Linked DNA regions of Neodiprion lecontei. The protein of the gene in region 1 purifies or fractionates together with the protein of each later gene. This does not show direct contact. Links are inferred from orthologs where the notes say so. Each region holds a gene or a part of one and is shown on either strand. Other genes may lie near its edges.

The links.
Region 2: the proteins of histone H2A (region 1) and histone acetyltransferase Tip60 purify together in Homo sapiens (affinity purification with western blotting; 3 studies listed by BioGRID and IntAct, with this or other methods). This does not show direct contact. The link is inferred for Neodiprion lecontei from reciprocal best matches to the Homo sapiens genes H2AX and KAT5.

The regions. Positions count from the first base shown.
Region 1 is NC_060262.1:40,434,723-40,438,928, reverse strand, and holds histone H2A, read left to right. Parts: upstream 1-1,958; 5' UTR 1,959-2,096; coding exon 2,097-2,118; intron 2,119-2,204; coding exon 2,205-2,412; intron 2,413-3,027; coding exon 3,028-3,208; 3' UTR 3,209-3,579; downstream 3,580-4,206. UniProt on the Homo sapiens protein: Variant histone H2A which replaces conventional H2A in a subset of nucleosomes. Nucleosomes wrap and compact DNA into chromatin, limiting DNA accessibility to the cellular machineries which require DNA as a template.
Region 2 is NC_060265.1:23,412,170-23,417,913, reverse strand, and holds histone acetyltransferase Tip60, read left to right. Parts: upstream 1-1,913; 5' UTR 1,914-2,101; coding exon 2,102-2,197; intron 2,198-2,299; coding exon 2,300-2,357; intron 2,358-2,449; coding exon 2,450-2,518; intron 2,519-2,752; coding exon 2,753-3,845; intron 3,846-3,975; coding exon 3,976-4,080; intron 4,081-4,140; coding exon 4,141-4,192; 3' UTR 4,193-5,137; downstream 5,138-5,744. UniProt on the Homo sapiens protein: Catalytic subunit of the NuA4 histone acetyltransferase complex, a multiprotein complex involved in transcriptional activation of select genes principally by acetylation of nucleosomal histones H2A and H4.

The sequences.
Region 1 (4,206 bases):
ACAATTTTAGATAAGTAAATGTAAGATTACATTGACCAAGTGTACAGCATTTTTTTAGTCTTTTATCACAGTTTACTTTATTTGTAATGAATTAAAGCTATACTGGTAGTTTTTCTAAATCCAGAAATTTTAGTTATTCGATATTTAGGCATTCTTTTACATAGCGATTGTTACATGGAGTTTAAACGTGTCTTAACCATTTCTAAAACAACTCGTAAAAAGAGTCTGATTAGAATATGCTATTTGAAAGACATGTTGAATATTGTGTATGAAATCAGAGGGGACTAGTGTTTAAAGTGTTGTAAGTAATCATATCAATATGATACGAACGTGTAAAAATGAAGTGTAAAGAAAACGAATCAAAATACAAATTTCTCTTCAATTAATAAGGAAGTTTTAGTGTTTCATAATTTTTACTGACGGCTCTTTAACCCAAGGTATAAGATAAATAATTATAATTTGTATAATATTTTATTGAATATAGAGAGAACTCATGTAACTTATTTTATTCTCTGTAATGTGGACTTGTATTTAAATATTGAAAAGGATATTCTATCATATGATTCGCACGTTTACTGATTAGTAGCATGTGTATTGATAAGATAAACATAGAAGAGAAGGATCTCAATTTAATAACTGCAAAATCGAAGATAATTGATTTTTAAACAATGCGAATATCTTTTATATTGAAGTAAAATTGTTTATCGAACATTCGCCATTTGATGAACCTCTGAAAGATACTTCTAATTTGTTGTAAGTACACCAGTGTCTTCTCGAAACGGGCACTTTTTGTGGTTCAATATTTTCCGTATGTAATAATTGAAACGCTAATAATTATTTGGAATTCGCATAATTTTTCGAACACATGTATTGCAATTTGTATAAACTGTAGACTCAACCATTGAATAAGAATAATAAGAACCTCCTTCAATTCTATGTTGAATACTTACAATAATAATAATAATGTCTGCAATGGCCAGTGAATTTCAAAGAAGTGAAAAACGATGTTGAGGTACTTAACAAAAAACAAGGTTATAAAAAAAAATGACTTGACTTTTACCACAAAATTGCGTGAGTACATTCCATGAAAATGCTTGTTACCCGCTAAACCTTTAACATTCCATGTATTGAACGGACCTTGAAAAAATATGAGTAAACGTGAAATAACATTTTTATTTAATATCATCCATTTCTTGGCAGACCGTAATTATTATACTTCACCTGGGTCCTATTTAGTTCTTTCTTTCTTGTTTTCACATTTTCGAATAATTTGGCGTACTGATTCAAATCTCTCATTGTGCTCTCTAAATTGATTATCTCCTTGCTCCGTATAATGTAGCATCATATCTACCCGCCTTCCCTGTTATAACCCGCAAATCAATTTTGTCTGTGTTTTCAACGTTTTGTTCATTGAGTGCCTACATTTGTAAATATCATTATTTTTATGTATTGTGTAATATTAAGGCATCTGTAGAAATCTGCAGGTACCTTTCTGGCCAGAACAAGAGCCTAAAAGTAAACTGTTCGAAAACACTTTGTCTGCCTCCTTTATCTCCCTTTTATTAAAAGTTAATTGTAAAATATTAAAGTAGTCTTTGAAATTATCTTATAAATTCTTATGAAAAGAAATCAGTCGAGAAGGTAATTCACCGTACATAATATGTATATTTTCGGTCGACGCTTTATGTAGTCAGTTTTTTTGTTTTTAAATCTTCCAATTGCCATAATTGAAGCATAAATTATATGTATCCATAAATACAAGAAAGCTTTTTCAAATGGTGCGTTTTATTTGCGAGTCTCATAAAAATAGGAGAGGACAAGGACGACGTTCGATTGGTTTAATTCTAGATACTAACCAATGAGGTAACGCTTCTCATGCTTTTTTGTTTTCAAAGTATGGTGCTGCCATCTGTCGGAATGAAATAATACGAATTCCACAGCCTTCCGTGTCAAAAAATTTTCCCGCGCAAACGAGCGCTATCAAGACAGTGGGCGCCAAAATACGTGACATCCGACATCATTTGCTGTTCGGTAACGGTAGGAAGAGGTTGCAGTTGTGATTAGACTTTCTATCCGTGTAGAATCAATCTCGAAATATGTCCGGTCGTGGTAAAGGAGGTGAGTAGTATCAAAGCTTCCGAGAAATAATTAGCCAGATTCTCGAACAACAGGACGCATTAAAAGTTTCTTATTGATTTTTAAAGGCAAGACCAAGGGAAAGGCGAAGACTCGCAGCAGCAGGGCTGGGCTTCAATTTCCCGTAGGTCGTATTCACCGGCTCCTGAGGAAAGGAAACTATGCCGAACGTGTCGGAGCCGGTGCTCCGGTTTACCTAGCTGCGGTCATGGAATATTTGGCCGCCGAAGTTCTCGAGTTGGCTGGAAATGCTGCGAGAGACAACAAGAAGACGAGGTTAGTCCTATCAGCACCCTTATTTTCACAACCACAATACCATAGTTCAGAAGTATAGACAACCCACAGATTACTCCTTCATTTTCTCTTATTCACTACAATTTCTTCACTGTATAATATGATAAATCTCAACCAAAGTAGGTTTAACATTTCTTACGGAATCGAGCAGAATTTGCGTCGTTATTATCGCGTGCCGTGTTTTTCCTCTGTTTCGGTACAATCATTTGTCTCCTATGAAGATACATTGAACATACATTGTACACATGAAGAACTGCTTTGAAATTAATCCTAATAACAGTACAGTGTGTAATAATTCGTGTGATAAAATTGGTGTATGTATGAATGTATTTATACGTGAACATGGCCGAACACTTCCATTTCAACCTAATGCAAAGAAACTTGTTTTTGCACCAACCAAACTCTCCCCCTTCTCCTAAATCACTATGACAATCTACACGTTTTCTAAATGGAATTCTCGATTTGGGAAAACAGTACCCGATTTCATGTAACTGAACTATGCGTACACACAGATATTTGAAAAATCCTGCAGTCAGACGTACAACATTTACTTCAGGAAATTGGATTTATTGACCATATTTATGTTTTATTTTACAGAATAATCCCTCGTCACCTCCAACTAGCCATTCGTAATGATGAAGAATTGAACAAACTGCTTTCTGGAGTGACTATTGCACAGGGTGGTGTTCTGCCCAACATCCAGGCAGTTTTATTGCCTAAAAAGACTGGAAGTAGCAGTGGATCTGGCAAGGGAGACAAGGCCTCTCAAGAATACTAAATTAAGATATTACATTAGTGCGAGCACGAACTTACATTTGACCTTATAAAACCTGACAATTCAATGCAACACATTTATTTACATTCACTAAAAATTGGCAAGATCAGATGTTTAAAAGCACTGAACAAAATTGCAAGTTGAATTTATTTTGTTTCTTTTTTTTCAGTATTGAATAAATGAATCGCGTTATGTGTATGATTCATTGTATGATGCTTATGTTTGACGGCATCCTTCGTTTTTCAAACTGTTTTTTATATTTATGTATTAATTTTTGCCATTGTATTATTTCGCGAATTTTTTTGTTTCAATTTTGATAAGTGAGTAGATCAAAGGTGACAAACAATAAATGGCCTGCAGCGTTATCATAATAATACTAACTTTTATTGACCTGATAACTGATCCCACAGTATGACGAATTGGTGGGAACATTTCTTGAAAATTGTACCTATTTGTACATACATAAGCGATATCTTGACATGGAAAAATAACCCGAACGAAAAATGACAAGCGGTTTCAATAATTGTGTAGTGTTTTTGGTTTGTCTCGTCACTTTTTCATCTTACCGCAATTTCAGTAGCCCAATTATTTCTGATAATTTAGAGTGTAGACTATATTCAAGAAAGAGTGTTTTGATTATAACATCAACAAGCATGCAGCTTATACTCTCGTATTTATTATTTGACGTATGCAGCACACAATTTTTTAAGTCCAGGGATATCAGGTTTGATCATCATAAATTTTCAAAGAACCGAATAAAGAATTAATTTACAATCAGATTCAAGCTTCGAATCGACCATTCATTCAAATTGATCAAAACGTTTCTCTGTTGACTCAAGGCTCCAAAATTGTAACTTTTGGTCGGGACTGTAGAAACCGTTCACAATCGTGTAGTACGTGAAGTTTGTAATACCAGGAATAACTAATAACAGTCCGCAATATTCTTCAGACGAAAATATCGAAACCAAAGTACAATTCTTCATTGGTACAATCATGAGCAC
Region 2 (5,744 bases), on another chromosome or scaffold:
TAGCATCTCAGGTTGAGTGGTGAGGTAACGCCGTATTTACACTGCAATAAGAAAATAACAGAAGATTACTCACACAATATACTTGGACTAGATTTCGCGTGACGGTTTTTTTTTCCATATTATCTCAGTGGTGGCTGCTGCTATTAATAAATGACATGTAGGAATGAATAAAAGAAAGCTAATGAAATGAGCACAAGTAGTGAGTAAATGCACAAAATCAACGAGCAGCTAAAATCATTTACAATCAAAAGCGACATTATAAACAATAATCATATCAATTACGTACCTTCCAATTTTCTTCACTGTAGTGGATGGTTTAGTTTTCACTTTGTTCTCAGAGATCGATTAATCGGGTTACTTTATTTACTTCATTGCTAAATGCGGTTAATGGTGCTGCAGTGTAGTTTGTTCCTGTAATGGGGTAAGATATAACATTTCATTATTATTTTATCGTTTAAATCAATACACGTAGCATTGGAAATGCACCATAGTTTTTATAAAATATAATCAAAAAACTAAACAGCAATAAATTGCGAATAAAAGATCAATTTTCCAGAGTGAAAATAGTGTAAAAGGATAATCAAGGATGAAATAAAACGTGTACCTGCTTTGCGATCTTCCATAACGTTACGACCTGTTCGGTTATTGTATTTTGTTTCCCACATTCATTGCTAAGGTCAAACGATTCAAACTTTAGCTAGAACCTCAATCGATCTCGCTGCAGCTTATTTCTGTAATCAGATCAAAGACCACCCATATGATTTAAATATTTCATATTCAAAATCCATATACTCACGACCAGTGTTAAACAAACGGAATTGTAGTATGTTACATATTACGCTAAGCCTTGGAAAATTTTATCGATTGCCTAAATAATAAAGTGAGAAATAATTTTCATTGTTTTATGCCTGCTACCTTTATGCAATAAATTCATCTGTTCAGCTACCGCATTACATCTTCCAAGATTTATTAACAGGATTTTACAATCCAGCTAATTGCTAACATTAATCAACTTTGTTGCAATCTGTTTCTCTAATCAGGTAGGTTGACGCAATATTTTGTTCATAATATAACTTTAAAATCGATCTAAGCAGCATTCAAAATTTACCAGACTTACTCAAAAAGACAATATAAAATATAAACAACAATCAGCGATTCGTCTTCATTCATTTTTTTCATTAGCGATTATTTTATAAAGTATAAGATGTTGAGTGTAATTTTAACATGTCACCTTATAAGCTACCGACAAGGTCACGACAATTAAAGTCACGAAATAAATAGTAACGCTGTAACGCGTCAACCCTTGTTGCATGGAAGTACGAATCAAAATTCTCAGAAATGCCTCGGTGTTGATAAACAAACGAAGGTCTGTTGATTCGCGAACGGTGAACTGCGCGAGTCACCGCGCTACGCATTATAGGGACGCGAGTACAACTACATGTTAATAACGAAACTCTTTCATTCAGCGTACGTTCCGATAGACTGTTTTTTACGGCAAAATAAACCAAGTCATAATAAACGTGCTAAAATTGCATTTTACAAAGGTCCGTTTGATCAGAAATTGAGAGAGAAAATCGCAACAGAGAATTAACGGGACATTCTCTCGTCACAAAACGCGGTGAACAGTCAAACGTTTGCCCGAGAACAATCTGAATGTGTCAACGAACTATCTAGAAAACTTCAAAATTTTAGAAAGAACTCAAATCACCTTATGCAGACCAAATATTGCGGTACGAATTCTAGACGATCAACGCACGTGGCTCTGCTCCTGCTGCTCGAAAGCGAATGACGCCGCTCACTTACGGAACGAAGTTTCGGGCTGCGCGCGGCGAATGCGCAGAATGCGGCCCGCGTCGTACAAAATTGCTACTCTCCGCAGCGTCAGGCGTAAATATGTATTCTGTATTTTCTGTACTACATAATCTGTAACGCATTTCGGAATTAATTAAATATTTCGCATTAACGCAAAATTAATGGAAAGTACGAGACGAACCGCAAACCTTGTCTCTTTACAATATATATATTACCGGCAACGCTTGCGTTTAGTGAAAGGGTTCTGTTCTGAGCCAAGAATAGCGCTAGTGTCTGCTCCCCGAAGTGTATGAAAACAACATTGTGTTTAGTGACAAGTTTTGGTCAAATTCTGATCAAAATGATCGAGGAACACGATGAGCGGGAGACGATATGTGATTCAGTGGTAAGTAGAGCTGTATTACAACTGCGAAGGATATGAATATTTGACCCCGGAGCAAACGTTGGATGTAATTGTGAATTTTACTAATTCTAACCTCAATTTCAGTCATCACTTGTCGAGGGTTGTCGTTTGCCGGTCAGGATGCAAGACGGCGACGACTGGCGTAAGTTACTTGTAGCCCTGCAAAATTATTTAAAATATTTGGAACTCGTTCCGCTGCCCTCTTCGTTTCTCACACAACGTTTTCTTTTACAGCGCTCGCTGAAATCATCAGCGTCAAAGAGATGCGAGGTGTCAAATGCTACTATGTCCACTATGTGGATTGTAAGTATTCAATTACTGCAATTAGATGACAGGAAACTTTGCAAACATGAATATTCCATAAAACGTATCTTTGTATTATCATGGAATAGCCAGTTGATTAGCTTTTCTGTTAAAAGTTTACTGTCATTAGCCATGAAAACTTGAACTGTCACTGCAAACTTGATATATTTGAATAGTGCACATTGTTTCCCTTCGATATGCCACTCCGAACAACAGGAAATTAAATTATTTCAGTTAACAAACGATTGGACGAGTGGGTGATGGAAAATTGTTTAGATACGCGGAAAGTTCAATTTCCAAGGCGAGATGGTACAGCGCCTGGAACGGGGGCAGCGACACCAAAAAAACAGATTCCTAGCAGGCCGCCGAGTCCAAACAATGTGATACCTGAGCCGGTCAACGGTTCGGCAGTACTGCAGGCAGCGTTACAGAAAAAAATTTCTAGAAAAAGAAAAGCTACATTCTTAGAGAACGAGGATTCTCAAGAAGCACCACCGCAACCTGTACCTGCGGCTACCGGCCCAAGGTCTACCGGTTCACTGGTAGCGCATCACCACGATGATGTTGTAACTAGGATGAAAAATATAGAATTAATTGAATTGGGAAGGCATAGGATAAAACCATGGTATTTCAGCCCGTACCCTCAAGAAATGGTCAGCCTCCAATGTATTTACATATGTGAATTCTGCCTCAAGTATCGAAAGAGTCGAAAATGTCTAGAAAGACACTTGGCAAAATGTAATTTAAGGCATCCGCCTGGAAACGAAATATACAGAAAAGGCTCGATATCGTTCTTTGAAATAGATGGAAGGAAAAACAAGAATTATGCTCAAAATCTTTGTTTATTAGCAAAGTTATTCTTAGATCATAAAACTTTATATTACGACACGGATCCCTTCTTGTTCTATGTTATGACACAATTCGATAGCCGAGGTTTTCATATTGTGGGATATTTTTCGAAGGAGAAAGAATCGACCGAGGATTACAATGTCGCTTGTATTTTGACAATGCCTCCTTACCAGAGAAAGGGTTATGGAAAACTGTTAATTGAATTTTCTTATGAATTATCGAAATTTGAGGGTAAAACTGGATCTCCGGAAAAGCCACTGTCCGACTTGGGGTTATTGTCGTATAGAAGTTACTGGGCCCACACGATACTAGACATTTTACTAAACGTCAAACCCTTAGTCGAGAATGAAAAACCACAGATAACGATAAACGAAATATGTGAACTGACGTCGATAAAAAAAGAAGATGTCATATCAACGCTGCAAAATTTAAACCTCATTAATTACTACAAAGGACAATACATCGTTACGCTTAATAGGTAAGGAGACAACAAATGATCGATTTCATCATCTTCATCGTGATCTAAACTTCTATGAATATACTTGACATCTAACGTTGAACGAAAATTAGTGGAAAAATCATTGAGTTATGATTGTATATTTTCACAGAGATATAATACAGCAACACGCCGCCGCAATGGAGAAGCGTCAGATAGGAATAGACCCAAAATGTCTTCATTGGACACCAAAAGACTGGAGCGTCAGAGCGAAATGGTGAACAAAACTAATATCTTGCAATACAAATACGCTAATGTGATTTAAAATTCGTTTCAGGAATCCTGGAACTGATTATCTACGTCACGCAAGCGTGCAAAATTGTACATAACTCTCGAATTTGTGGGGCTTTTTTTCTCGTTTTAAACCTGCTGTGTCTAGTTTCAAAAATATTGCATGATACATATACACCATATGTATGTATATAATATTGTTAGATGTAAATTCTTATACTTGTACAGATAGAGATCTTGTTAATTATTCATTCCATATGTGTTTTAAGTATAATTGGTTTGCCAACGCTCTTTCTTCTATATTATTTTATTGTATTTAATAATATTTAATAATATAGGAATAACGATAATTAATAATAACAATAATAATAATTATAAGACAACGGCCAGAGCAGTTCGACGTCGGTGTGGTGCGCTTGTTATTTGTTCGGATCTTGTATTTTATGGTACCACTCACGATTGCACAGTTATTATATTAATATACAAAATCGTAGAAAGATCATCTATTTGTATGTCTGATCGTCTGTATGCACGGTAGCGTTGAACAGCTCGTGACCAAACTTAAACTGCGTACAACTTGGGCATAAAATAATAAATCTTCGTCTGCGGCATTGAAGAACAAGCAATGTGGTGAACTTGACTAGATTAATGCCGTCAGTAACCGTATAGTAAGAATGAAACAAGAGAAGTATGCTCAAAAAATGCGAATTTTAGTCTCGACAAGGGAATTCAAAGTTTTACAAATACTATTTTCCTTTTATACGATATGGAAATTGCTCTCGTCACTCAATTTATTCCGTTTGCGTTTCTTTTTCCTTTCAAATGCATTGCCCGGCTAGTTGCCCACTGTTTAAATCCGTTAATACCAGCATTGTCTATACGCTTATTTTTAATTACACCTAAGACTATTTTTAAACGTTGTGGTCGAAAGGTGCAAAGGATCTTTGGTCTGGACATTTCATTCATTCAATAGGTCCAAGTGCACTACCCCATGCATTGATATTAATTTTCTCATACAAGTACGTCAGGCACCAGAAATCAGTGTAGCATGGGGTAAAAAAACAAAAATTATAATAATAACAGTGGTAAGATGTCTACAAATTAAGTATGAACCATAATTACTATCTTTAGTTTATTACAACGTTTAATTGAACCCCTACAAAGTGTTTACCGATTGTAGTATAGTGCCATGGCGGGCTATATCAAAGTTGTTATCGATTATCTGTAAATTGTCTTATCATTGCGTATTTTTGTCTGTATTAAATTTCACGCTTATAGGAGAAAGGAAGAGAGAGAGAGAGAGAGAAAGAGAGAGAGAGAGAGAGAGCGAAAAAGCAAAAAAAAGAGACGCTATGAGAAAAAAAATTATGATTTACAATAAATCAAGCTCATTTCGATTTAATTCGACTAGTTACTTATGTGGTGGACATCAATTGTTGACAGAAAAAGGAGGAACGAGAAAAAATCCCTTTTTTCATAGATTTAATCTACGAACATTGTCAAAATCTTTCGTCTTGTATTTCAGCAAATGTGAAAGATGTTTTTTTTTTTTTAGATTAAGTATTCAATCATGAACGGCGAATCGTAAGATTTATCGACTGATTTAGTCTGTACCGGTGTAAGGGAAATGGAAAATTAAGGGTGACGATG